7 linked regions of the Xenopus tropicalis genome follow. The protein of the gene in region 4 interacts with the protein of the main gene of each other region in a pairwise test. Links are inferred from orthologs where the notes say so. Each region holds a gene or a part of one and is shown on either strand. Other genes may lie near its edges.

Region 1 (3,949 bases), on a different chromosome or scaffold from region 4:
AAGTCCAACATCTGTTTCAGGAAGAGGTTTGGAATGAACTAGACCAAAGGAGAGAGAAAGTGTCAAGATAAATGTCTTGAGGAAGGTAATGAGTCTTCTCTTACATAGTAAGTTGGGTTGAAAAAAGACACGTCCATCACGTTCAACCATAATGCCTATATATAACCTGCCTAACTGCTAGTTGATCCAGAGGAAGGCAAAAAACCCCATCTGAAGCCTCTCTAATTTGCCCCAGGGGGGAAACAATTCCTTCCTGACTCCAAGATGGCAATCGGACCAGTCCCTGGGGCAACTTGTACTGAGAGCTATCCTTCCTACCCCTGTATTCCCTCACTTGTACTGAGAGCTATCCCCCCTACCCCTGTATTCCCTCACTTGTACTGAGAGCTATCTCCCCTACCCCTGTATTCCCTCACTTGTACTGAGAGCTATCTCCCCTACCCCTGTATTCCCTCACTTGTACTGAGAGCTATCTCCCCTACCCCTGTATTCCCTCACTTGTACTGAGAGCTATCTCCCCTACCCCTGTATTCCCTCACTTGTACTGAGAGCTATCCCCCCTACCCCTGTATTCCCTCACTTGTACTGAGAGCTATCCCCCCTACCCCTGTATTCCCTCACTTGTACTGAGAGCTATCCCCCCTATCCCTGTATTCCCTCACTTGTACTGAGAGCTATCCCCCCTACCCCTGTATTCCCTCACTTGTACTGAGAGCTATCTCCCCTACCCCTGTATTCCCTCACTTGTACTGAGAGCTATCTCCCCTACCCCTGTATTCCCTCACTTGTACTGAGAGCTATCTCCCCTACCCCTGTATTCCCTCACTTGTACTGAGAGCTATCTCCCCTACCCCTGTATTCCCTCACTTGTACTGAGAGCTATCCCCCATACCCCTGTATTCCCTCACTTGTACTGAGAGCTATCCCCCCTACCCCTGTATTCCCTCACTTGTACTGAGAGCTATCTCCCCTACCCCTGTATTCCCTCACTTGTACTGAGAGCTATCCCCCCTACCCCTGTATTCCCTCACTTGTACTGAGAGCTATCCCCCCTACCCCTGTATTCCCTCACTTGTACTGAGAGCTATCCCCCCTACCCCTGTATTCCCTCACTTGTACTGAGAGCTATCCCCCCTACCCCTGTATTCCCTCACTTGTACTGAGAGCTATCTCCCCTACCCCTGTATTCCCTCACTTGCTAAGAAGCCATCCATCCCCTTCTTAAAGCTATATAATGTATCAGCCAAAGGTTCTTAGAGCCCTTGAGTTCCTATCACCCTCTATGTTGACTATAATAATGTCCAAAGATGATTGGGTACTTGGGTTGATTTATACCCAACTGGGAAAGGACCTAGGCAGATATTTTTGGTTTAGACCATCCAATAACCCAATCAGATCTTTGTTGGTCTGTTTATAGAGAATACACCATCGCCCGATATCCAGTTGGTCGTTCCTTACTATCCCCATGGATCAGTGACCCATTCAAGTGGCGGCAAGAAATACTCACAAAGTTTTCCTGAGTTGCAGCCGTGATGGCCGAGGCCACTTCGAAGGCATAAACTACGAACATCAGGATGAGATACTGAAATGAAGAAGGGGTGAAGTATATTGAATCAACAATCATCATCAATCATCATACTCCATTTACTAACACTGGTAACAAGCAGTAACTCATCAACCAGAACCATCTATATATAGGCGGGGCACAATGAAAGTGGCCACAGCCAATAAGAGGCCTTGGAGCTAGATGGATAGAAAGCATTAGAGATTTCCCCCATAGAACATGGGAAATACCAGACAGACAGTAGTAAAGGGGTAATAGCATTGGTATTTACAGGTTACTAGTTCCCCTACTGGGGTAACTTCCAATTGGCCAACTGGTGGTGCATAGATGGAACTGCAGTGACCACCCAGAAGCACAGCTTCTTCTTATTGGAGGAGGTTTCCTTTATAATATTGCCCAATATCCAATTGCCCAATGGGAGAGCGTCCTACAGATCCTCATTGGACCAGAACCCAGTCCTTACCACCATCAGCATTCGCCTGTTCGACTTCATGATGCCAATGATTCCGACGATGGACAAGATGAAGAAGCAGAACCCTGTAAAGATGCCAATCCAGGCTGCGGCAAATATGTCGGCGTTGTTGGTCGCCTCCAGCAGGGGGTAGATGCCACTCTGGTCCGACACAAAGAAGATGCACTCGGCTGTCAGGGCCACGCCACAGAGCTGGAACGACGAGGTGACCATGATTAGAACACGTGCATTCCAATTGGTTAAGAATTGCCCCAGTGCCATAGCCATGGCAACCAAACAGTTGGGCTCATCATTATTTAACGTGCAGTTGACCCATCAAAGCTGTTCTTCAAGTCATCTTGAGACTTTTTGAAACCGTGGCCCCAAATTATGTTAAACTCTTGGACACCCTATAATTAGACCTTGATCTATAATTAGACCATGTGATCCATTCCTATTTAACCCCCAGTGCACTAAAACTTACTGGGTTTGTGCCATTCTATGGGCCATAGAGGGCTTGGTGGAACCATGAATGATACTTGACCAGGATCTACATCCAGGGGTGCACAAGTAACATACAAAAGGAGGATAAAATAACTAGTAGGGCTAGTTAACTAGGGGCTTCTGGCCAAACTATGAGCCTCTAGTCCTGACCAAGGCTCCGGTTAGGTGCAAAGTGGTTAATAATATCGACTACTTACCCCAAGGACCACATTGCCGAAGATGATGATGGACTGGTAACACCGAACGCCTGAGTCCTCCTTCATTTTCTTACGTATAATAAACCTGTACAATTAAAAAAAAGTTGATTGGAAGTTGATTTGAGAAAGGGCGTGGCCTAAAGCAGCAGGAAACCATGTGACATTGCAGTCCAGTAGAATCTCTGGACCCCAGAAGAAGGACTAAGGGTTTCTATATACACCCGGGCCTAGAGGATTGGAATGCAACTCGCTCACATTTCATTCAGTCCAACATTCTAATCTCGGGCATACTCGTAACCAATAGCGAGAACAAGTTTTTCTTCTCCCGGTCAGTTTGTTTAAAGGGGAAACGAACAATATCTTAGATCTAAAAACATCCCAAACTTCTCATGCATGCAGAGCTGGGTGGGGCGTGGGGGGGGGGGGGGGGGTATAGAGAATTCCACCCTGTAATATAAAATCCAACACACAGAGGAGAGCAGAGTTACTGAGCAGTGATTGTGTATGGCAGCTCCAACCGGCCAAAATCTCTATGCCCAGGCCTGAACTGGGATTCAACAGGGGCCAAACAGCCCCAATAAATAGTGAGTGTCTATGGGATCTTACAGCAGTCCCCCTGGCATTTGCCAGAACCCACAGACTGGCAGTCCTGGCACGCTCTACGGAAAGCACCAGCAGCCAAATGCCCCTCGTGCTATTTGTCTATGGCTTCCTCAGGTTGTATATAGTGTTCCTGAGCATCACCCCTTCCCCCAGGGGGTGCAAACCCGCAGCCATGGGCATCAGCATTCACTGCTAAACAGATGCATTTAATTCCCACAGAGAGGAGGTGTGGCCTCAGTGTGCCAGATGCTTCAATGAAACCTGTTGCACCCAATACTTTTAATCCCAAATCCCCCCCTAACTGGCCTTCAGGCTGGGCCCCCTTAGCCCATAACAAGGTTACAGATATATAGAAACATTGGGGTAACAGTCACCCCGCTATAGTTCCAGGGGTACCCAGGGCACAAATAAGCACTCACCCCAAATCCCCCCTAACTGGCCTTCAGGCTGGGCCCCCTTAGCCCATAACAAGGTTACAGATATATAGAAACATTGGGGTAACAGTCACCCTGCTATAGTTCCAGGGGTACCCAGGGCACAAATAAGCACTCACCCCAAATCCCCCCTAACTGGCCTTCAGGCTGGGCCCCCTTAGCCCATAACAAGGTTACAGATATATAGAAACATTGG
Region 2 (3,962 bases), on a different chromosome or scaffold from region 4:
TGCGTGTATGGCAAGTCGGTGAGTCGACCGATATCGCAGGAACCTGCTGATATCGGTCGACTCGCCAATCGGGCGGGTTAAAAGATTTTGATCAGGCGCCATAGAAGGCGCCTGAGCAAAATCTGCTTTTAGGGCTGAATCTATTGTTTCTACCTCCTTATCTGCCTGTTTCAGCACTGAAGGTTAGTGTGGCCACCTTTAGGCTTAAATGAAAAGCATTATGGGTAAAGCAACACATTGCATTCCAGCATAACTACCTGCTTTATTTCTCTTGGAATCTTAAAATAAAAAAGCAACTTGCAAAAGTGCTTAGAACAGCACACTTTCATCAATTTTACAGTCACTTATTTTAAATGTTTACTTATCCTTTATCTAGTTTTAAAGAAGAAGGAAAGGTAAAAACTCAGTTTCCTCTGCCAGAGACACACAGCTCTTTGCTTTCTGCTCTTTCCTGCTCCCCCCTCCCTCAAGAAAGCTAAGAACTCACTCCCCCCCCTTAGGAATGTGGATCTGAGCCAATCAGCAGGAGGCTGACTTATAGTCTTACTAACTGAGCATGTACACTTGGTCTGGGTGTCTGTGCAGGAGTGAGGCATTATGGGAACTTTCTTTACACAGCTCAGCATTTTTTCTTCCTGTTTGGCTTCTGATCATTGCAACAGGAGAAATATGGGGAGACTTAGGGGCACTATTGAGAGAACTGAAGGTATGCCTGCAGCTTGAGATTAACTCTTTATTAGCCTTTCCTTCTCCTTTAAGGGAGCAGGAAAAACAGATCACGTTTAAGGTAATATTTACGCAGAAATATGACATACAAAAGGGCTCGCAAACTTTCAAGCACCACTGTATGTAGTTATCTACAATTCATTTACCAATAAGGTGATAGAGATTGTCAGAACATACAAGTTAAAAGAGAAGATTTGAATGGTAGGGGCTGCACTGCTATCTACTGGCTGTAATCATGTATAAAAAAAAACCCTAAAGGTGGCCATACACGCTCTAAGATCCTGTTATCCCCACCTACGGGTGGGCAATATCGGGCTAATTTGAACGATGGGTATAGGCGTCTGTCAGGTCGGGTATCACTTCAACGAGCCAATGCAGTCCCCAGTCCGACTAAAAAAAAATCAAACCTGCCCAATCGAGATCTGGGTGATTTCAGGCCAGATGTCGGTTGGGCAGGCCTGTCGGTAGTGCCCATACACGGGCCAATAAGCTGCCGAATCGGTGTAATGGGCCGATATTGGCAGCTAGAATCTGCCGTGTATGGCCACCTTAAGATCTCTCTGCATCTTGCAGATTTGCACTTCTTTAATAATTTCCCCAAATAGCCTAGCATTGCAAATAAACATTTCTTTTCCTGGGCACCAACCGTGGCTGGACTACAGCTGAAGTCTGCCAGGGGGGGGGATGATGGGTGTTACAATGAAATAACAGTGGGGGAAGTACAGCTCTAATACAAGACTTTCTTTGTATTTTACTTACCTCATCTGATAGTGGCTGGCTACTCTCTCTCGATGCTGAAAGTCACTTCCATCTGTACCAGTTGCCCGAGGGCCAGCACGGGAGGCCATTATTGATCTTACAACCAGGAAACAATAATTATTAATCTCTAATTAATTATCTGCAAACTAAAGAATAACTTAGTTACAATCTACAACACACTGAAACAAAAGAACAGTGTGTGCACAGACTTATATATCGTCTGAGTTCCCCAGGTGAAAAACTAACAGCTGAGCGCCTAGTTCCCCTTTACTTATCAAATGTTTAAAATAACATTACAGTGGTATTGGTAGGTGCTCCTTTGCTTACAGGAACAGTAAAAAAAATTAAATAAAGCTTTTCACTTTTGTGACTGAAATGCTGTGGGTGGTGTACATATTAAGCCGGTAACCCCCCCCCCCCCCCCCCCCCCCCAAATATAACCCCCTACGGCTAAATCTCAGAGCTGCATCTGGTTAATGATTACCTGGGCAATGGCTCTGTTCTGGTTTATAACTAATCTACAAATGAGGGTTCAAGCACAATACATAATCATACAGATTAGTTTGCTGGTCATACAAAGAACGATATTGGCTTCTAAATGGTGAATATAGATTCGTTCTTGTTGGCCTGGGCACAAAATGAAGCTCATTTGTTGCTGGCCAGGGATGTGCCTGTGGATCTTTTGGACTAACAACAAGGGCTGAAAAAAAAAAAAAAAAAGATATTTGGTGCAGGATTTGCAATCATGACAGGTTCCTATCAATAGCGGGATCATGTCAGTATAATGAAGGTGGCCTTGGGGTGGGGGCATAAGGCTTAGAGTAGTTTATTGACACCTTTAGCGTTTAGCGAGCAGCCCCCACTATCGCCTTACAGCCTGCAGCTGTTGATGGATCAGAGAGTTGTAGTTCAACAACACTTGAAGTTCCCTAGTGTCAGTCCTAACACCCTGCCCAAAGCTCAAAGGGGATGTAATTCCAAATATAAAATGTCACATAATATAAAAAGAAGCCATCACAGCCTGCAGCAGGCACCTATGGGAGGTGGGGGATTTCATATGGTCCTGTACCTGGTTTAAAGGGGGTGAGGTGGCAACCCTTGGAGGCTAATGTACCTGGTAGATGGCTATAGCCCACTCAGGTAACATGCCCCTACAGCTAGCCCCCTGCCCTATGACATGACTGGCTTTCCAAAATAGTGCACTAAATACGCATTCCCCCAGCACACACAGAACAAACAAACTATAAAGACATATTATAACACGCACAATAGCAAGGAGCCCACTTACCACGCTCAATGAACCCGGCGCTTCGGCAACATCCGCCCAGTCAGCGCTCCTTTCCGACTACTTCCGTCCGGCTCCCGGCGCCATCTTGCTCCACTCGGAAGTAGAATCACCATGTATTGATTGATGTTGAGAAGACAGTGAAGTAGCTGTATGGCTGTAAATTAAAACCACATTGTCGCTCTCTGCCTTAAGAATAAAAAAAATCAGTGCAAGGCTTCTTATTTAAGCTACTAAATATAATGGGTGATGTCAAAATATAAAATATCTGCAGAAATTACCAGCTGCTGTTTGATTTTTTGTTTTATAGAAATTAGCTTTCATTATCGCTTTACAATGCAGGGCAGCCGTTTGTTGCCATGGAGCCCTGCATTCTGTGTAATTTAAGCCTTTTTGCTAATGGGGAGGGTGGGCAAGTTTGGGACAGGTTCCTGCATATTGTGCAAACAGCTGGGAATGTGTCTCCCTGGCCTCAGACTGCAGTGCATAGGTCCCCTGTGAGTAGGAGGCAGGGCAGTAATGACTCCCACTGAACAGCAATGACCTGTGCTCCTGTTTGCTGGGACAGCTGAAGGAATGGCCACTCATTGGCACAGGGCATTGTGGGTAGGAAGGAGTGACCTGCAGTGAAAGAGAGTCATAAACATCTCCCAAGTATATACTGTCATAGTATGGGTCAAGCCTGCTGACTGGGAGACTGGATCCCAGGGAACTGAGTGCAACATATAACTCCTTACAGACATATATACAGGGTAAGTATGAAGCTCTTTTGTGTGTGTTTTGCTTATAATGTGTCAAAAAGACTATTATGGCAGATGTCACATTGCCTGTGCTTATCTAGCTGGCTGGGAGTAAATCAGTAAATGGAAGGCAGGGTAAAGACCCTCTAAATTGGATTATATTGTATGTGTATGTTTGTCTGCATGGCACTCAATAAGAGCTAATGGCAGTAATCACCATACTTAGCTAAAATATATCTTCAATGGTTAGAGTATATTTTCTACATTGAGATTCCTGTGGGACTCTGCTTGTAGTTAGGCTTTGGTAATATAGAGACTGTTAGAGTTAAGCTGGTTGGATGTCCCAGCATTATAATATACACAGCGTTTAAAGTGTCATTGGCTCAGCATAGATGATTGTTTTTTTCACCCACCTATAATAATATATAAAACCATACACCTGGAGGAGGGGG
Region 3 (4,098 bases), on a different chromosome or scaffold from region 4:
CAACATCCAAGGGGTTGGTGAGCAGCATGTTGCTCACAAGCTACTGATTGGGGATCACTGTTCTAGAGTTATATCATATGTTTTATGCAATGATTTCTATATTTTAGCTTTCATCTAGGTTTAACATAAGAAAACTTTACCAGGAGGCAGAGTTTTCAAATTTTGTTTTTCTCCATTGGCGTTGTGGGAATCGCTTGCTTCTAATAAACCAAAAGTTTTCCCTTTATACTATCTGTCAGTCCTATATTAATGTATAGACTGAGTTCCCAAGATATAGTTATATAATTATTTTGAGTTAAAAAGGGAGGCAACTACCCTGTGAGTTCAACCCTTTTAATATAGCCCACCATCACATACTCACCACACAGACTTTACACAGAACTTACTGCACCAGCCTACAAGTTCAGCAACATTATAATGATATGATAATGATTCAGGCCTTCAAAGTTGTCACAAATGTTCCCCATCTTGGATTTTGTTAAATGTGTCAGTGACACTGACATGGCCTAAAACTGGCCAGAAATCAGGCAGAAATAATTTTCTGTTGGATTGGGGACCACAACTGCTTGTTGAAGCGGTCCTTGGTCTGACGGCCCATATACCTGCCTTTATAATTGGATTGTTCGGCCTAGGGTTAAACAACCCTATATCAGCAACCATAGGTGGGCATATAAGGAGATGATCTGCTATATCAGCCACCATAGGTGGGCATATAAGGAGATGATCTGCTCGTTTGGGGACCTCACACCATGCATGGCCACCTTTAAGCTTGAGTTCTTGTTAATGATATTTATGAAAAAGTCTTGCGAGTCTTTTTCGGCGATTTCCCGAAATCGCGCCGCCACGTGTGCCATCCCACCGGCGACTTACATTGTCGCCGGTGGGATGGCAGGGGAAGGCAACTCGGGGAGATTAGTCGCCCGCGAACAGGGAGTTTTGTCGCGGGCGACTAACCTCCCCGTGTGTCAGAGCCCTCAAAGGAGAAAAGGCACAGGCACATACAGATAAAACACTATTGTATTCTACAGAACTTATCTGTTATCTGCTATGTAACCTGTGCCTTTTCTCCTTTTTTCCAGCTTGAATGGCTGCCCCCGTGGGTACACAGCAGCTTATTATATAAATGATAGTATTGTAAGGGCTCTGGCACACGGGGAGATTAGTCGCCCGCGACAAATCTCCCTTGTCACGGGCGACTAATCTCCCCGAACTACCATCCCACCAGTGAACATGTAAGTCGCCGGTGGGATGGTACACGCTGCGCAGGCGATTTCGGCAAATCACCGAAGTTGCCTCGCGAGGCATTTACATGTTTGCCGGTGGGATGGCAACTCGGGGAGATTAGTCGCCCGCGAACAGGGAGATTTGTCGCGGGCCACTAATCTCCCCGTGTGCCAGAGCCCTTACTGTAGCAAACACACCAGTTTTACCAGTGCAGGGCAACAGTGCATTATATTTTTATTACTTTAAAGCTCTTTCATTTTGTGGTGTTACTGTTCCTTTAAAATTAAAAGTGGAAAAAGTCATATTGCTTGGTGTAGTACATGACAACAATTAAACTAAAATGTTTTTGGAAGGTATATTTAACAATCATACCTACCACAGCTGACTGGCTTCATTGCTACAATGATATCTTTCTATAAGTATCTACAAAAGTGTAATAAAGTAATTTACTACTAAAAGGGGCAAACAAACGGGAAAGGCTGCAAAGGGAGCCTTGAACTCTAAAAAGCTTTCCTCTGAGCAAATAATGATTCATGTATTATAGTTAAATATTTGTACCTGCATAGGCATTTATAACTCACAAGAACACCAACGGCAAACATTCCTGATTATTTTTGCACAGTGGCAGGAACATGTGGATACACAACAGGGTTTAATTAAAAAGGTCTTGTCCAACTCATACAGTGCAAAATTGGCAGTCACACACAGGATACATTGTAGCAATTTAAAAAGATTTAAAAAAAATGATTATTATTGTGTAACTTGCACAGCTGTAGTCCTTTCTATGTTTGACTTGACATAATGAAAAACAACTTATAATAATTCTGTGTTGTTACAAAACCACACACAAACACTGCAGTTAATTGCAGAAACCTTATATTATGCCGGTAGAAAAAATAACCTGTCCACCAAACAAAACAAATGTGCAGTTGTGTAAGAGATGCTAAATTAATTATGATAAATACAAGGTATCAATATAACATTATCGCCTACATTTTACTTAACAATAAAGCACCTGTTTGTGCTGCTCTGGACTAGCCAAACTTCCCCCCATGCGTCATGTGACTGCTTCTTACACCCTTCTGCAAGTAAGAAAATGCTCAAGGCACGAAATATTACCTTCCGGCTGCTCCCATTGGTTCCAGAGTACACGTAATAGGCAATGCCAAGTAGCCAGAGGAAAGCGAAGCACAGCAGGATTCTAGATTTCCTTCTCATTGTTTCTCTCCTGGGCTCCCTGACCGGTCAGGCGATAGAATAATTCAATAAATAATAACTACACCACGGATATGGTTTTGTCAAGGCTGACGTACTACGATATATACTGGCTCATACTTCCTCCACCTCCATACAGCTGCTCCCCCTTTGCCTGCAGCGTTAATCCCTCCTACTCCCTCCTCTTCTTTGCCACTGACTCGCGGACTGCAACCAGGCCAGTGAACAGGAAACAACCAGCATCGACAGGTCATAGGGCAAAGGTCGAGCGCTACATGAACGACCAATCAGAGATCACCGATGGGCTGCTGGTCGTGGTGGGTGGGATTCGTGAATCTCTATGGTTACAGCACGCCAATGCTCGTCGGCTCTCCCACCCTCCTCTTCGCTCTGACGTACAGACACTTGCAGTGCAGGAAATAGACCTGTAGTTATCCAATCATATATTATGACATTCCAGTTCCGGCTGCTTTCAAGGAATAGGCAGAAACAATAATTGTGCAGTAATGTCGGATGAAAGAACATTTTATAGTAGAAGGTTCGAAAGAGTAATAATGAGAGTGGCGTCGCCTCATTCATTCCATTGGATAAACGCATATCAATTTACATAACCTTTCCAACCTGCGCTGTTAAATAGATGTAACCCCTTTTTGGCACACTCACTTACTTTGGGCTGTATATATGCTTAAAACAGGAAATTGGTCCTACTTGGCAGATAAAAGGTACAGGGACTGGGATTTTAGTGCAGTGCCTCCACCTAGTGGACACTGAGGAGCACACCTCAAGGGGATTTCCACTAGGAAATAATCACACACAGTGCAGCAAATATCAACTTTATATAACATTGTGAAAATAAAATAGCATTAACATGCAATCAGTAATAACCCTGCTTTGGAAACCTGTGTGGTTTTAACAACTACTGCCTCGGTCTCTTTGAGGACACAGTTCCACCTCCACTCCTGGAGGAAATACCCTTTCCCAGTTCAGTCCTGGCAAAGTCCCTTCCCCAGAGCTCTTTCAGTTTCCCAGGTAGCAGTACCTGCCCCAAAGTACCTCTCCCTTTGGAATAGGCAGTTGCTCTCATGTAGCAGGCCCTGAAAAACACCTGTCCTCACACAGGGGGGGACACACAGGAGACTTTCAATACCTTTCCTTTCCTAGTTCACTCCTTGGAATCCACAGGGTTAAGGCATCTGACCACAGTGTAGCACGGGGGTGTCAAACTCAATCACATAAGGGGCCGAAATCTAAAACACAGGCTAAGTCATGGGCCAAATTTTTTATTAATAAACTTAGTAAGATACTAAGAGGTATATTTATCCCAATGTGTAAAAAGTGGAGTAAGACATTACCGGTGATGTTGCTCATAGCAGCCAATAGATGCTTTGCTACTGTTGAAATCTGATTACTGATTGGATGCCTTGGGCAACATTACTGGTAATGCTTCACTCCACTTTTTACACAGCATGATAAATACACCCCTTAGTCTTAGTTACTATGTGAGGAAAATGGAAATTGATCAGGCTGGATGGTCAGGCCCGCGGGCCTTGTGTTTGACATATATGGTGTAGCAGATCAGTCTCAGCTGCTGGCAAAACAACAGGGACTCCCTTTATAAGCTGCTAGGCCCGCCCCTGATGTTTGGCTCCAAACCTAGGC
Region 4 (3,500 bases):
ATGGCGGCTCAAGGGATGTAAAAGGGCAGTATTTACTGATATACAGTATATATTCCAGTTTGACGAGATTGTTTATTAGGCCACTTAACATAATATAAACTCTCTGTTGGTTAAGTATACATTCTGGGGGTATAGTTTTATTTTAACTTGTAATTTCATAGGAATGTTTGCTCTTTCAGAGCTAGCACTCTCCAGGAATACATCTGCAGATTTCTTTGAGGTCCTGCCTCAAGAGGAAGAACTAATATACCCTAAGCTTTCAGCAAAGGGCTTGTATAATGTATAAACTGCAAGGAACCTGCTGGAATCCTGAATCAGAAGAAGGGCAGCTATCAGACAGCAAAAGTATGTTTTTAATGTATTATTAGATATGTATGTGCTTTTAATGGAAATTAAAGTGGCTGTACCCCCACTTGTGGATGGCTTTTTATATTCTCTACACTTCTGACTACATTGTTTCATGCATCAGAGTGGAAAGGGAGAAACAAATGCTGCTTTCAGTTTGAAATACATTTACAAACATCTTTAAAACCCATTAAAAACGTTAAATGTACGTGTATGTATAGAAATAATTTGCTGTGCCTTTACGTCTCAGATGCTACTCAGGGCTGTCTTAATGGTGTTCCTAATTCTACATCAGAAGAGCAGTTGCTGGATACCGCATTTGAAGCATGTGATACAGAGGGGAGAGGTAAGAAACTCTTGCTGATGTAAAAGAGCGCCTCATGAGTAATATAATAGGGTGTAATACTTCCCAACTAAAGGAAAACAGCGGGGCAGAATTATTATGTCAATTATGTTTTTAAGCAGCAGTAAGGACAGTTACTACTCATAAGAAAATCAGTGGAATTGCGGCTCATTCACTAGTTTTTATAAAACGCTACTACCGAGTCGTTAAGCTCTTTAACTTGCATTGTCATTCAGACTGATGTCCGCCTTACTGCAGCTAAACATATTATTGTGTTTACTAAGGAACTGCCCACATTGTGCATAGGTAACAAAAATCTGCAGTTTTGCTGTTAAATTCCACTGCTAAACTACCATAATATGACTAAATTTGCCTCTAGGAGAAGTAACAGTGTTTCAGATCATTGACTACTTGAAGAGCGTAACAGATCAACCTTGTGATGGAGACCGACTCCAGCACCTTTGTAAGATGCTGGATCCTGAAGAGCAGGGAAGGTCCCTAGATTTGCCAACCTTCCGTAAAGTCATGAGTGAGTGGATTGCCAGCTGCTGCAGTGACAGGTATGTCGGCTCATGCGTTTAGAGAATGTAAGTATAAATTTGGCCATATAATCTTTGGTCCCTGTTGGTTGGCAGACCAATTCATCCCACAGGGTTCAGTTGGGTTAAGGTCAGGGCTCTGTACAGGCCAGTCAAATTGTGAAAGTTGAAAGCCATGGCAAAGAACCCCAGACCATTATTCCTCCTTTACTAAACCTGCCAGATGGTGAAGCTTTATTTACGTTCAAGAGAATGCACGTGTACTTGCTGCAGAGTCCAATCCGAGAAACCTTTACAACTTTGCAGCATACAAATGGCATTGCGTATTAGGGGCGGCCTAAGCCAACCAGGCCCTAGACAAATTGGTCGGCCCCTTGGCCCTGCACCCTTCCCCCCTCCTTGCATCTGCGCATGCATTATATATGGTGTTGCAGGGGGGCGTGAGCCATGCAATGAGAAGCAGCAGAGGCAATGACAAGGGAGCTCGGACTAGGGGTAAGCAGGAAGTACCTGCCTGGCGCCCTGGCAATCTGTGGATTCTGGATCCAGAGGGGCAGCTGTAAGATGCCATAGACTATTGGGCTGGTGGGTGGCTGTTTTGGCCCCTGTGTACTTGAAATGCCAGGGCCTATTTTTGATCCAATGCTAGGCCTGCTGGACTGACAATCATTGCATTCCGGTAAATGCCAGAGGCGCTTCTGTAAGGCACCATAGACAACCACTGTTTTTTAAACCTTTGTGGGACTGTTTGGGCCTCTGTGTACTTAAAATGCCATGGCCTATTTTGAACCACAGTCCAGACCTGTGCAGGTGCTTGACATCTTTTTAAGCTATTAAAGGTGAAGGAAAGTCATTTTGCTAATAGATTAGTCACAATAGTGCAAGATAGAACGCTATATTTATTTTGCAAAAAGCTTTACCATACCTGAGTAAACAGCCCTAGAAGCTCCCTCCATTTGTTTAAGATAGCAGTTGCCATTTTAGGTCTTGGTAGCTTTCTGCTTCTGATAGCATAGATCACACATTCTGATGGGAGGGGGAGTGAATTCTTATGGGAGGGGGAAGCAGGAAAAGGGACAGAGGAGAGCGTTCCACAGACTTTTTCTGAGAGAGGAAGTCTGATACTGAAGAACATCTTTACAAAAAAGGAGACAAATCCTGTGCTTTTTTTGATAGAGGACTCTGAGTGCTTATGGCTGTATTTACATAGACCTTTCTGATAAAGCTTACTTAGTTTTCACCTTTCCTTCTCCTTTAAATATTGCAGTTTTACAGTATAGTGACATGATGTGCAGTCTTATATTTCTTTTTACATACAGTGTAAATAGGACCCTAAGATTTTACTGTCCATTTTAATAATTTCTATATATGCAGTGATATTACTGAAACAGTGGAAAATATAAAATCCGAGAAAGGCTCATCTTTACCATGTGGTAAGTAAAAAAAGCACTTGTGATTAATATATTTCTAATTTAGATTTTCCTTTGTACATTATATATCCTCTATTTCAATCCATATGAAAATTAGGCTACAGGTACACTACAAAACTGGAGATACATCAGCCTTATGGCTGTAAACATACCCATCACTACCCCTATACTGCTGGGTCAGTACTCTGTATTCTAACCCAAGGCTGTCTGTTATACATAGTAACATAGTAAGTTGGGTTGAAAAAAGACATACGTCCATCAAGTTCAACCATAATGCCTATATATAACCTGCCTAACTACTAGTTGATCTAGAGGAAGGCAAAACCCCATCTGAAGCCTCTCTAATTTGCCGCAGAGGGGAAAAAATTCCTTCCTGACTCCATAATGGCAATCGGACCAGTCCCTGGATCAACTTGTACTAAGAGCTATCTCCCATAACCCTGTATTCCCTCACTTGCTAAGAATCCATCCACCCCTTTCTTAAAGCTATATAATGTATCAGCCAGCACGACTGATTTGGGGAGGGAATTCCACAACTTCACAGCTCTCACTGTAAAAAATCCTTTCCGAATATTTAAATGGAACCTCCCTTCTTCTAAACGGAGTGGGTGCCCTCGTGTTCGTTGGAAGGACCTACTGGTAAATAAAACATTAGAAAGGTTATTATATGATCCTCTTATATATTTATACATAGTTATCATGTCACCTCTTAAGCGCCTCTTCTCCAGTGTAAACAGACCCAACTTGGCCAGTCTTTCTTCATAACTGAGACTTTCCATACCCTTTACCAGCTTAGTTGCCCTTCTCTGGACCCTCTCTAACTCAATAATAATACACACAGGT
Region 5 (3,500 bases), on a different chromosome or scaffold from region 4:
CAAATGGAGCCCTGGCTGGAGTCAAACCTAGGATGGCAGTGCTGAGGGCCATAGGTTTGATTCCAGCCAGGTCACAATCTGTAGGTATATTTTCCCTGTAATTGTACAGCTTTACTTTGTGTATTCTGGTTTTTGCACACCCCACAGGCCAGTTAACTGGTTAATAAACTTGACCACAAACTGTGTGAATGTGATAGGGCGGTAGATTGTAAACTCCACTCTGGAATATGTAGAATATGATAAAAACAGAGCAAATATATTTAAGGTCCCCACAGCTGATATGGTGCATTCAACTGGCAGGCGTATGTGTTTTGGTGGCTGGACTGCCTTTGTATCAGTTGCAACTTGGTATATTTATCATTTATATTTTATAATTACAGCACCAAGTAGATAGTGATGTGCCGGTGGGTGCAATGCGTTACCATGTAACAAAGTATTATTTCCTTTTTGTGGTATGAAAGGAGCCGATAGGGTGGCGGAATTAGCTGAGCAGTCAGCCATCAAATTGGGAAGATTTTCTTTTTGAAGGTCTTAACATTGTGATGTACATTGTTATAACCTATATGGTGTTAGGGGTGATGTGGGAGGGCACAACTAGGGGGCCACAAGTCTCTGCCTTATTCTAGGTAATAAATATATAAATGAGGCCAATATTGAACTCTGTGGGTGATGGCAATTACAGTTGCGAGCACCCACTGACTGCCATGTTGGTAACATGCTGAGAGCTGCAGTTGAACAATAAGTGGAGGGCCGATTGGACCCCCATTAAGATCTACATATGCCTACACAGTGTAATAATATTGGGAAATTAATTGTAATTGGTAACTAACAGGTTAAGCTTGGGAGCCAAATGATTAGATCCCTCTGATATGTCCCTCCCCCAGGTGCTAAAATTGGGCAAAGATCTGATTGATTGTATTGTCCCTTAATCTTCCATTGTATTGGCCAGCTCCAGATGCTTGTATTGGGCTCAGCACAGACCTGACCCTTCTCCATGCACATTGTGCTGCTTGCTCTGTAGTGTGCCAGGGGGCGGGACTATCCCTGTTGTACAGGATGTGATTTATGTTCAGCTGTGACTGACAGGTGCATCCAAGTTTCCTTGCAATGCAACTTTGGGCAACTTCAGGAAACCGTAGCGACACATATGCCATCCCGCTGGCGATTTACATTCTTGCCGATGGGATGGCATTTCCGGGAGAATAGTCGCCCGCAGTAGCTAAGATTTATCGTGGCCGACTAACTTCCCCATGTGGCACTGCCCTTAGGGTGAAGACACAGAGCTACTTAGTAGCAGCTACTTGTTACAGCTGAAAATACCCTGCATAGACAATACTGAGAATTGCTAAAACACACGTAGAGACAATTATCAGTACAGGTATAGGACCCATTATCCAGAATGCTCGGGACCAAGGGTATTCCGGATAAGGGGTCTTTCCGTAATTTGGATCTCAATACCTTAAGTCTAATAAAATCAATCAAAAATCAATCAATAAAACATTAATTAAACCCATTAGGATTGTTTTGCATCCAATAAGGATTATTTATATCTTAGTTGGAATCAATTACAAGGTTCTGTTTTATTTCTACATAGAAAAAGGAAATCAGTTTTAAAATTCTGAATTATTTGATTAAAATGGAGTCTATGGGAGACGGGCTTTCCGTAATTCGGAGCTTTCTGGATAACGGGTTTCCGGATAAGGGGTCTGATACCTGTATATGATCAGCATTGTGTGTTTTAGAAGCCATGACAAGTAGCTGCTAATAGTAGCTCTGTGTGTCTTCACCCTAAAGCTCACTTTCTGTGCACCAGAAGAAGCCATGGCCCCCGACACAGAGAGTAGAAAACACACTCTGCATGGAGACTTGTCCCATAAAAGAGAAGGAAAGGTACAAACTAAGTAAGCTTTATCAGAAATGTCTATGGAAATACAGCCATAAGCACTCACAGTAATGCTGCACTGAGTCCTCTATCAAAAGAAACACAGGATTTCTTGTCTCCTTTTTTGTAAACATGTTCTTAGGTATCAGACTTCCTCTCCTTTAGGGCTCCTTCAGGTTTGGGGCAACGAGTCTGCGTAGCTCTCTCCCCTTCCTTTTTTTGCTCCCCCTCCCATAAGAATTCACTCCCCCTTCCATAAGAATGTGTGATCTGAGCTACCAGCAGCTAGAACTGCATCAGGAAGTTTTGGAGACCAAGTTAAATGGCAGCTGCAATCTTAAAAAACGGAGGGAACTTCTAGGGATGATTACTCAGAATAAATATAGCATAATTGATATTAATTTGATATTAATTGGTAGGTGGTGACCCCAGTTTATTAAAGCCTTAGGTAGGGCACAGGCAGAAGGGAAGCATTGCCAAAGTGCCAGACAAATTGCATCACGTCCATTTGCCCCACAGGGGAAAACTGCCAGCAAGCGCTTGATCCAGCCTTACCTTGAACCTCTCGGACACTCCTTCACTGATACTGATAGTAAATTCAGCAATCTTGGGGGCTCGGAATTTGCCTTTCTTATGATCCCGCTCGTATTCAGTCTTTGTTTTCACAACCACCTTAGAAAATAAAAACATAAACCAGTGTGAGTAATAAGGCACAAATAGGGAGATTATATACTAAAAAGAAACTCTACTTCTGGACTGCATTGGAACAGCGCCATCTAGTGACAAGATCCCTGTTACTGTATAACTCAGTATAGGGCGAGCCTTCCTTTCGGCAGTACAAGAAACTGCTCGTTTACTAACATGGCACATTGTAATCCCTCACACAAACATGGCCCTGGGGCAGCAGCAGCCGTTGCCTGTTATCTGTGTATCTGTGGCGCTGGGATACCGGCAGTTGCACTACTTGTAGCCATAAGCTGCTGATGGGTTAATGGTGCCCGAGATACCAGCTGCAGCATGTGCTGGGCATTGGGGATTCAACCAAACGGTCTATGGGCCTTGCTGGAAAATGAATGGGGCCCTTAAAGTCAAGTGACTGTGAAGCACTGAAGAACTGAGATCAAGCATTTTTCAGTATTGTGATAAAATTAGAATATGCAAGTTGGGGTACAATAAGGCAAGATGGCGACAATATATGGGGACTGAACCTAGGGGACAGTGTGTATAATAAGGCAATATGTTGTCAAGATAAGAGCTCTAACTGTATGGTAGTGTGTATTGTAAGGTACGTTGGCATTGGGAAAAGGAATGTAAGAGTGGGATAGTGTGTATAACAGTGATCCCCAACCAGTGGCTCAGGGGCAACATGTTGCTCACCAACCCCTTGGGTGTTGCTCTCAGTGCCCCCAAACCAGGGAGTTATTTTTGAATTCCTGACTTGGGGGCAAGTTTTGGTTGGATAAAAAAATGTATTTACTACCAAATAAAGCCCCTGTAAGCTGATAGGGTGCATAGAGGCACCTAATAGCCAATCACAGCCCTTATTTCACACCTCCATGAACCTTTATGGTGCTTGTGTTGCTCTCCAAGTCTTTTTACATTTGACTGTGGCTCCCGA
Region 6 (4,061 bases), on a different chromosome or scaffold from region 4:
AGTAATGACAGGAAAATAATTTCATACAGCTAAAAAAGAAAGTTACACTTAAAAAGTCAAATGACATATAAAGAAGCATGTGTAGAGTTCATTAGAGAGGAAGAGAAAGAGGAAGAGAAAGAGGATACGCAGAATAAAAAGAGAAATAAGCATGGGGGTAAGAAAAGGCTGAAATACACTGTTAGAGGGCTTAATTAAATGTATGGACAAAACAATTCTGCAATGTTTTATACAAAATAAGGGTCTAGATAATGTAACTAAGGTTCTGAAAGTATTTTCAGTATAAGGCATTACAATTTTGAATTAAAATTTAAAACTGTTTAGTATCAACCTTTATACATCTGTTTTTCTCATGGTACAAACAAAATCTTACAGATTATAATTGTCTGGTCTTCAAGTTGGGAAACTCTTCAGATACAGATCTGTGGAACAATTGGAGCAACCAAATTAAAATGAGGAGGATGGAATTGTCTAGACTGACAGATAGCCATACTGCTGAACCAGACAAAGAAATGTAAAACATACATTCTGAAAAGGGAGAAAAAGCAAAATAGGAGAACTAGATACAAATAATTCAGACATGCCTGCAAGAGATGAGTGGGCAAACAGGAAAGAGGGAGATGCACTGACAGTTCTACAGAAAACGGAGGAGATGTACATCGCTAAGGTTTAGGAGATTCATGGAAGGTAAAGACAAAAGCAAAAAAATAGGCAGCTGCATACACAGCAGTACTTTCTATGCACCGAGTAAAATAGATTTAAACAGTGAGAAGGATGTTAAGTCTATATATTTGTTTGTCTATGTATGTATGTAGGAGACTGTATATTATCGCACAAATAACACTAAAGTATGAAAATATACTGCATAACCTGTGTTGTAGCGATTGGTGAGGATTTAAACAAAAGGTAAATCAGAGTATGTTCTTCTCTCAAAAAATACTTACTAGAGTGGGAATCACACTTTATAGTGGCACCAAAGAAATAGAATAGAGGACAAGTTGGTGGAAGATATGAAGTGAGAGTGCGCAAAAGTGATCTCATTGTACTTGTATGCACATATGAAATGACATGCAGAAACCCACAGGATATAGTCAGATATGTTACATACCTTTATTGTGAGTAAGCAGGCACAATCCCCTCTAATACATCCTATAGCCCAGCAGGATGCCTTGATGTTAGGAGAAGTGAACTGATGTCTGGAGCAGTTTCCTTTGTTAAACTTAAACCCAAAAACATAAGAATATGTAGCGTTTCTCTGTGGAAAGTCCCAAAGCGTCACACGTCTTCAAGTGAGCCCAATTCCTTCAGACCCTTAAAGCAAATACAGATGTACAATGTAAAGACTAGGGACTTATAGCTTGGGCAACCTTTGCATTGGAGAGGAATTCCCAGAGAGTGAAAGAGAAGGGTGTGTAGGAAGAAGGGATTGAATCAGACAGAAGGAGAGAGGGGGGTGGAGGGTGAGGTTCCAGCTATGCATAATGCTAAGAGTAAAGGGGGAGGGTGGAGAGAGGAAGGATGGTGGGGGGAGATACTACAGACAAGTTAACCCTTACATAGCACTGTACTTTTTTCTATTGACATCGGTAAGGCAAATGGGCTTTGTTTTAAGAAAATGCTGGGATTTTTAGTTTTTAAAAAATCATTTTAATGCCCTATTGTGAAAAAAAGCAAAGACTGCTCTTAAATATCCACTACAAGACACACACAGACATTCTGTATTTTTTATACTCAAGATACTAAATCAGTACAACGTACACACAACAGTGGGGGACAGGATGGGACTAATGGAAAAAAATACTAAGCAACAGCACATGACAGATTATTTATGCTTTAACATAAATATCCTAAACAGTAAGAAGTTTTAGCTTTTTGGATGTTTGTTTTGAGTTTAATAACATACTACTAAGGCAAATTGTGCATGAAATAAGAGCTACCTCATGTATTATATTTTATACTATTTATATGGACGGACACAACACAATACAATACATATGTAAAACTTAATGCAGAGTGCTTCAGTTATGCGTGGTTAGGGTGAATTTACAGACTGAACACTAGAAAGCCACACAAAGTATAAGAAACTGAACCATAGGCAACAGTTACACAAAGCTGGTTTTTGGTCTGTGTATAAATGCAGGCCAAGAAACAGATGAACCACTCACCTGCACACAAAGTGAATTTCAGCACAGAAAAGTGTCAATATGCATTTTCACACTGAAATCTGCTCTGTGACTGTACACAGGCTGAAGCAGTGCTTATTAGCACAGATACCAGACCAGGCTGATTTGAGTGGTTGAGCTGCTACTTGCATCTGCATTTATATGCAGCCAGAGTTGGACTAACTCTGTGGGCTTCCACGACCCAGACATGATCTCCTTTCCCTGATCGTGTTGAGGTATAATGTAAGCACACTTGGGAGGGATGGAGTTGGTCTGTGGTGCCCCTGGAGGGGGTGTGGAGGCCACTGCTGAGGCCCCTGGGGCGGCAAACTAATGGGCCCTGCACAACCCAGTCTGACCCAGTATGCAGCCCAAAAAACAGCTACATGTGATCATAGCCTTAGCCATTGGCATTTATTTTGTGTATAACCTGATCATTCAGCATAATGCATTTGGGCTTGTGCGCCATGCTACAAGGTTTTTAGCAATCCTATTTAGGGAAAATATAATCCATCACAATCTGAACATACTTCTTACTCCAAGTATTTTTATCCTGTAGTTATATAGCGCTGACCTATTTTGCAGTACATTTATGGAATGCGATATTTGGAAATCTTTTTATTTTGAAAGTTCTGAAATACAGGAAGCCCACCACCCATAGACTCCATTATAAGAAAATAATTCTATTTTTTTTTTAAATGATTTCCTTTTTCTCTGTAGTAATAAAACAGTACCTTGTACTTCATCCCAACTAAGATATAATTAATTCTTATTGGACACAATACAATCAATACAAGTACCTTTTTTAGTCGATTTAAGGTATGGAAATCTAAATTGTGGAAAGATCTCTTATCTGGAAAACTACGAGCATTCTGTATAACAGGTCCCATACTTGTACTTTACAGAGATTACATACTATATTATATACTTTTGCATCAGGCCCTGCCCCTTTTGAAGCTTACAATCTAGGGTCCCTATCACATTCACACACACTATGATCAGTTTTATAAAGGAGCCAGTTAACATTCCTGTGTATAGATATAGATAAAGCTATGGTCATTGCTATTAGCTGCAGTACTCTTCCCTTAACCAGATCAATAGGCATTGTGTACATCAGTGCTGTCCAACTGGCACAACCGCACTCTATACTAGAATTAAGCCAAATTTGTAGTTTAAAGAAATGCTGTCATGAGGAACCATGTTTTTTTTTTTCAAAATGCATGTTAATGAAACTTCTCCAGCTGAATCCTGCATTGTAATCCATTTTTTAAAAATACAGGATTTTTTTTTTTATATTTAATTTTAAAATTTCACATGGGGCTAGCCATATTCTTAATTTCCCAGGGTGCTACAGCCATGTGACCTGTGCACTGATAAACTTCGGTCACACTTTACAGCTGAGCTGCAACTTGGAGTGATATCATCCCACTCCCAGCAGCTGATCATCAGAACAATGGGAAGGTAGCAAGATAGCAGCTCCCAGTAGATATCAGAATAACACTCAATAGTAAGAAATCCAAGTCCAGCTTGAGACTCCTCCAGTTACATGGGAGTAAAAGAAACAATAGGTTACCTGAAAGCAGTTCTAATGTGTAGCACTGGCTCCTTCTAAAAGCTCAGACTCCGGCACAATGCACTGAGATGGCTGCCTACACATCAATATTACAATAAAAAAAAACCCCAAAACATTTGTTGGTTCAAGAATAAAATTTTAACTGGTAAGAGTGGATTATGCGCTATGTAAACAGTGTAATTTAGAAATAAAAAGTACACCATAAAAATCATGACAGTATTCCTTTAATAACCAGAATTTCAGCTCTTAAAGATACCAGGAGCAAATTTTTTTTGCCAGCCCTGGTGCAGGGCAACTGCCACCCGAGTCAAGATTCTCACCTTGCC
Region 7 (4,116 bases), on a different chromosome or scaffold from region 4:
ACCCCAGCTGTACCAGTGCAGGAATGGCTGCCCCCGGGGCTACACAGCAGGGTATTATATAAACTATAGTAGGGTTTCTGTAGCAAACACCCCAGCTGTACCAGTGCAGGAATGGCTGCCCCCGGGGCTACACAACAGGGTATTTATATAAACTATAGTAGGGTTAGTGTAGCAAACACACCAGTTTTACCAGTGCAGGGCAACAATGCATTATATTTTTATTACGTTAAAGCTCTTTCATTTTTTAGTGTTACTGTTCCTTGAAAACTCCAAAAATGGACTCCATAACAGGCTTTAGCTGTCTCTGCTCAGAACTACAGTTCACCGACAGGTGGGGGGTGCAGCTTAGAATACATGGTCTATTTACTAAAAGTGTTAATTGTTATGAAATATTATCTGTCCTTTGTATTTGTATCTATGCCCAAGGGGCCCTGTGTTGGGAGCCCAGATCAGATGCCACATCACTATAAATAATAATCATATTGTATTTAGTCATATAGTGCCACAGTGGGCACACCATATTGTATTTAGTCATATAGTGCCACAGTGGGCACACCATATTGTATTTAGTCATATAGTGCCACAGTGGGCACACCCTATTGTATTTAGTCATATAGTGCCACAGTGGGCACACCCTATTGTATTTAGTCATATAGTGCCACAGTGGGCACACCCTATTGTATTTAGTCATATAGTGCCACAGTGGGCACACCCTATTGTATTTAGTCATATAGTGCCACAGTGGGCACACCCTATTGTATTTAGTCATATAGTGCCACAGTGGGCACACCCTATTGTATTTAGTCATATAGTGCCACAGTGGGCACACCCTATTGTATTTAGTCATATAGTGCCACAGTGGGCACACCATATTGTATTTAGTCATATAGTGCCACAGTGGGCACACCATATTGTATTTAGTCATATAGTGCCACAGTGGGCACACCATATTGTATTTAGTCATATAGTGCCACAGTGGGCACACCCTATTGTATTTAGTCATATAGTGCCACAGTGGGCACACCCTATTGTATTTAGTCATATAGTGCCACAGTGGGCACACCCTATTGTATTTAGTCATATAGTGCCACAGTGGGCACACCCTATTGTATTTAGTCATATAGTGCCACAGTGGGCACACCCTATTGTATTTAGTCATATAGTGCCACAGTGGGCACACCCTATTGTATTTAGTCATATAGCGCCACAGTGGGCACACCATATTGTATTTAGTCATATAGCGCCACAGTGGGCACACCATATTGTATTTAGTCATATAGCGCCACAGTGGGCACACCATATTGTATTTAGTCATATAGCGCCACAGTGGGCACACCATATTGTATTTAGTCATATAGCGCCACAGTGGGCACACCATATTGTATTTAGTCATATAGCGCCACAGTGGGCACACCATATTGTATTTAGTCATATAGCGCCACAGTGGGCACACCATATTGTATTTAGTCATATAGCGCCACAGTGGGCACACCATATTGTATTTAGTCATATAGCGCCACAGTGGGCACACCATATTGTATTTAGTCATATAGCGCCACAGTGGGCACACCATATTGTATTTAGTCATATAGCGCCACAGTGGGCACACCATATTGTATTTAGTCATATAGCGCCACAGTGGGCACACCATATTGTATTTAGTCATATAGCGCCACAGTGGGCACACCATATTGTATTTAGTCATATAGCGCCACAGTGGGCACACCATATTGTATTTAGTCATATAGCGCCACAGTGGGCACACCATATTGTATTTAGTCATATAGTGCCACAGTGGGCACACCATATTGTATTTAGTCATATAGTGCCACAGTGGGCACACCCTATTGTATTTAGTCATATAGCGCCACAGTGGGCACACCATATTGTATTTAGTCATATAGCGCCACAGTGGGCACACCATATTGTATTTAGTCATATAGCGCCACAGTGGGCACACCATATTGTATTTAGTCATATAGCGCCACAGTGGGCACACCCTATTGTATTTAGTCATATAGTGCCACAGTGGGCACACCCTATTGTATTTAGTCATATAGCGCCACAGTGGGCACACCATATTGTATTTAGTCATATAGCGCCACAGTGGGCACACCATATTGTATTTAGTCATATAGCGCCACAGTGGGCACACCCTATTGTATTTAGTCATATAGTGCCACAGTGGGCACACCCTATTGTATTTAGTCATATAGCGCCACAGTGGGCACACCATATTGTATTTAGTCATATAGCGCCACAGTGGGCACACCATATTGTATTTAGTCATATAGTGCCACAGTGGGCACACCATATTGTATTTAGTCATATAGTGCCACAGTGGGCACACCATATTGTATTTAGTCATATAGTGCCACAGTGGGCACACCATATTGTATTTAGTCATATAGTGCCACAGTGTGTGCCCTGCTTACATGGGGGGGCAATACAAACAGGGGGGCAGTATATAATACTTTGGTTTCTTTGGACCCCACCCCCTACCAAATGAATGCCTTAGTTGCATATTAGTGAATTAGAAGCTGCTAAGTATATTATTAATTAGGAGCTGGTATATTTTTTTGAACACCACCTAAACCTGTTCTGTAGCAAAAGGATGAGGTGGCATGTCTGGTCCTATGCTGAAGGAGATGGGACAGGGCTGCTTCCCGACTCACTTGTTACTCTGGTGATAAAGCGCCTCCATGGCAGCAGTTTCTGTGAATTTCACCCCAAAGGATCGGTAAATGATTACACATCCGCCAGCAATCTGTTGCTTATCCCGGCACCCCACAGAACCGTGTCCCTTCCACACGTCATCACTTCCGGGTTCTTTCAGGACCCCGCCGAGCGTTAGGGTGTCCATGCTGCCTGTCGACTTAAATCAGTTAAATAAACGAGAAGACTAGAAAGCCACGGTTTCAGATACAGTATTTTATTTGACTAGTTGTACTAGGGAGCTAATATTAACAAAAAGGCATCGTAGGAAGGCAAAGAACGAAAGGCATTGTACAGGCAGGGCATAGGGCAGCCATAGTGGGGCGCTCATTCCTATCGCCATGGTGACTGATGTCAGAATCAGCATCTTTTAACTTGCGTTCCAGATGTTGGTGTGATAGTGTGACAGGCTACGGCCGGGGGGTTGTTGCTATTAAACAACCGGAGAAGCCATATATTAAATGCATAATTGTTACCTTCTTTACTCAGCTTTCTAATAAAAAACCATAACCTATTGAACTGGAAGTTTATACGGGGTGTAGGGAGTTGTAGTTATACAACATCTGAAGGGGTGAAAATGTTATGTCCCTGGATTATACAATTCCTTTCCCCACTTTCAAGTGAGATGTGGGCACTGGCCCTCTTGTAATGTGGGGGTCCCTAGCCCTTTCTAGATAAACATGGGAAGTGCTGACAGGCAGATAAAAGCATTTTGACTCCCAGTGTTTTCCACTTGATGGCAGCAGTGGTCAGAACACCCCATGTGCCTTTAGCCCAGTGTTACATATACATTACATTAACATTTATAAAGCGCCAACATATTCCGCAGCGCTGTACAATAAGTGAGTTACATACATGGACATACAGAGTAACATATAAAGCAATCAGTAACTGATACAAGAGGTGAAGAGAGCCCTGCCCAAAAGAGCTTACAATCTACAAAGTGTTACATACACATGAGGGCCATTTACTATGCTGCCAATGCAAATGCTGGATCACCAAGTATCCTCATTTACAATTACTTGGGCCCAAGGTCTGATACCTATCCAGCTGATAGAGACTGCAGTGATGGCAGGTGTAAGGCAGCCCTGTCCTTCCAGACACTGGGCAGTGGGTAATACGTGGCTTCATTTGGAACCACAGTTTTGTGATCATTAATAAGCCCAAACATGGTACCAAGGGGTGTGTTTACTAAGATTGGAGATAAATATCTCCGGTGATGTTGCTCATAGCAACCAATAAGCAATAAGATTTGTACAGTCACCTACAAGCTAGAAATCAAAAGAAAGACCTAATTGGTTGCTACAGGCAACATCACCGGTGATGTTTATCTCCATTCTTAGTAAACACACCCCTAAATCACACAAAATCTACCTCCATTGACTTCCAAAGTGCAAGCAC

What was found.
Region 1: the proteins of ccdc155l (region 4) and upk1b interact in binary tests that used the Homo sapiens proteins (3 or more experiments, as listed by UniProt). The two-hybrid records come from large-scale screens. The link is inferred for Xenopus tropicalis from reciprocal best matches to the Homo sapiens genes KASH5 and UPK1B.
Region 2: the proteins of ccdc155l (region 4) and jagn1 interact in binary tests that used the Homo sapiens proteins (3 or more experiments, as listed by UniProt). The two-hybrid records come from large-scale screens. The link is inferred for Xenopus tropicalis from reciprocal best matches to the Homo sapiens genes KASH5 and JAGN1.
Region 3: the proteins of ccdc155l (region 4) and galnt2 interact in binary tests that used the Homo sapiens proteins (3 or more experiments, as listed by UniProt). The two-hybrid records come from large-scale screens. The link is inferred for Xenopus tropicalis from reciprocal best matches to the Homo sapiens genes KASH5 and GALNT2.
Region 5: the proteins of ccdc155l (region 4) and nsg1 interact in binary tests that used the Homo sapiens proteins (3 or more experiments, as listed by UniProt). The two-hybrid records come from large-scale screens. The link is inferred for Xenopus tropicalis from reciprocal best matches to the Homo sapiens genes KASH5 and NSG1.
Region 6: the proteins of ccdc155l (region 4) and ppp1r18 interact in binary tests that used the Homo sapiens proteins (3 or more experiments, as listed by UniProt). The two-hybrid records come from large-scale screens. The link is inferred for Xenopus tropicalis from reciprocal best matches to the Homo sapiens genes KASH5 and PPP1R18.
Region 7: the proteins of ccdc155l (region 4) and gosr2 interact in binary tests that used the Homo sapiens proteins (3 or more experiments, as listed by UniProt). The two-hybrid records come from large-scale screens. The link is inferred for Xenopus tropicalis from reciprocal best matches to the Homo sapiens genes KASH5 and GOSR2.

Annotation. Positions count from the first base shown.
Region 1 is NC_030678.2:6,430,303-6,434,251, reverse strand, and holds the start of upk1b (uroplakin-1b), read right to left. Parts: upstream 2,801-3,949; 5' UTR 2,783-2,800; coding exon 2,717-2,782; intron 2,229-2,716; coding exon 2,028-2,228; intron 1,583-2,027; coding exon 1,508-1,582; intron 39-1,507; coding exon 1-38. UniProt on the Homo sapiens protein: Component of the asymmetric unit membrane (AUM); a highly specialized biomembrane elaborated by terminally differentiated urothelial cells.
Region 2 is NC_030680.2:138,224,173-138,228,134, reverse strand, and holds the start of jagn1 (protein jagunal homolog 1), read right to left. Parts: upstream 2,801-3,962; 5' UTR 2,774-2,800; intron 2,186-2,773; exon of another isoform or gene 1,970-2,185; intron 1,632-1,969; exon of another isoform or gene 1,582-1,631; 5' UTR 1,575-1,581; coding exon 1,486-1,574; intron 1-1,485. UniProt on the Homo sapiens protein: Endoplasmic reticulum transmembrane protein involved in vesicle-mediated transport, which is required for neutrophil function.
Region 3 is NC_030681.2:52,926,217-52,930,314, forward strand, and holds the start of galnt2 (polypeptide N-acetylgalactosaminyltransferase 2), read right to left. Parts: upstream 2,801-4,098; 5' UTR 2,443-2,800; coding exon 2,344-2,442; intron 2,299-2,343; exon of another isoform or gene 2,279-2,298; coding exon of another isoform or gene 2,240-2,278; intron 1-2,239. UniProt on the Homo sapiens protein: Catalyzes the initial reaction in O-linked oligosaccharide biosynthesis, the transfer of an N-acetyl-D-galactosamine residue to a serine or threonine residue on the protein receptor.
Region 4 is NC_030683.2:112,407,440-112,410,939, forward strand, and holds part of ccdc155l (lymphoid-restricted membrane protein), read left to right. Parts: intron 1-179; 5' UTR 180-278; coding exon 279-345; intron 346-595; coding exon 596-691; intron 692-1,067; coding exon 1,068-1,248; intron 1,249-2,601; coding exon 2,602-2,660; intron 2,661-3,500. UniProt on the Homo sapiens protein: As a component of the LINC (LInker of Nucleoskeleton and Cytoskeleton) complex, involved in the connection between the nuclear lamina and the cytoskeleton.
Region 5 is NC_030677.2:26,293,138-26,296,637, forward strand, and holds part of nsg1 (neuron-specific protein family member 1), read right to left. Parts: intron 2,555-3,500; coding exon 2,438-2,554; intron 1-2,437.
Region 6 is NC_030684.2:75,522,123-75,526,183, forward strand, and holds the start of ppp1r18 (phostensin), read right to left. Parts: upstream 2,801-4,061; 5' UTR 1,109-2,800; intron 1,067-1,108; exon of another isoform or gene 945-1,066; intron 423-944; exon of another isoform or gene 374-422; intron 1-373.
Region 7 is NC_030686.2:15,435,323-15,439,438, forward strand, and holds the start of gosr2 (Golgi SNAP receptor complex member 2), read right to left. Parts: upstream 2,801-4,116; 5' UTR 2,705-2,800; coding exon 2,676-2,704; intron 1-2,675. UniProt on the Homo sapiens protein: Involved in transport of proteins from the cis/medial-Golgi to the trans-Golgi network.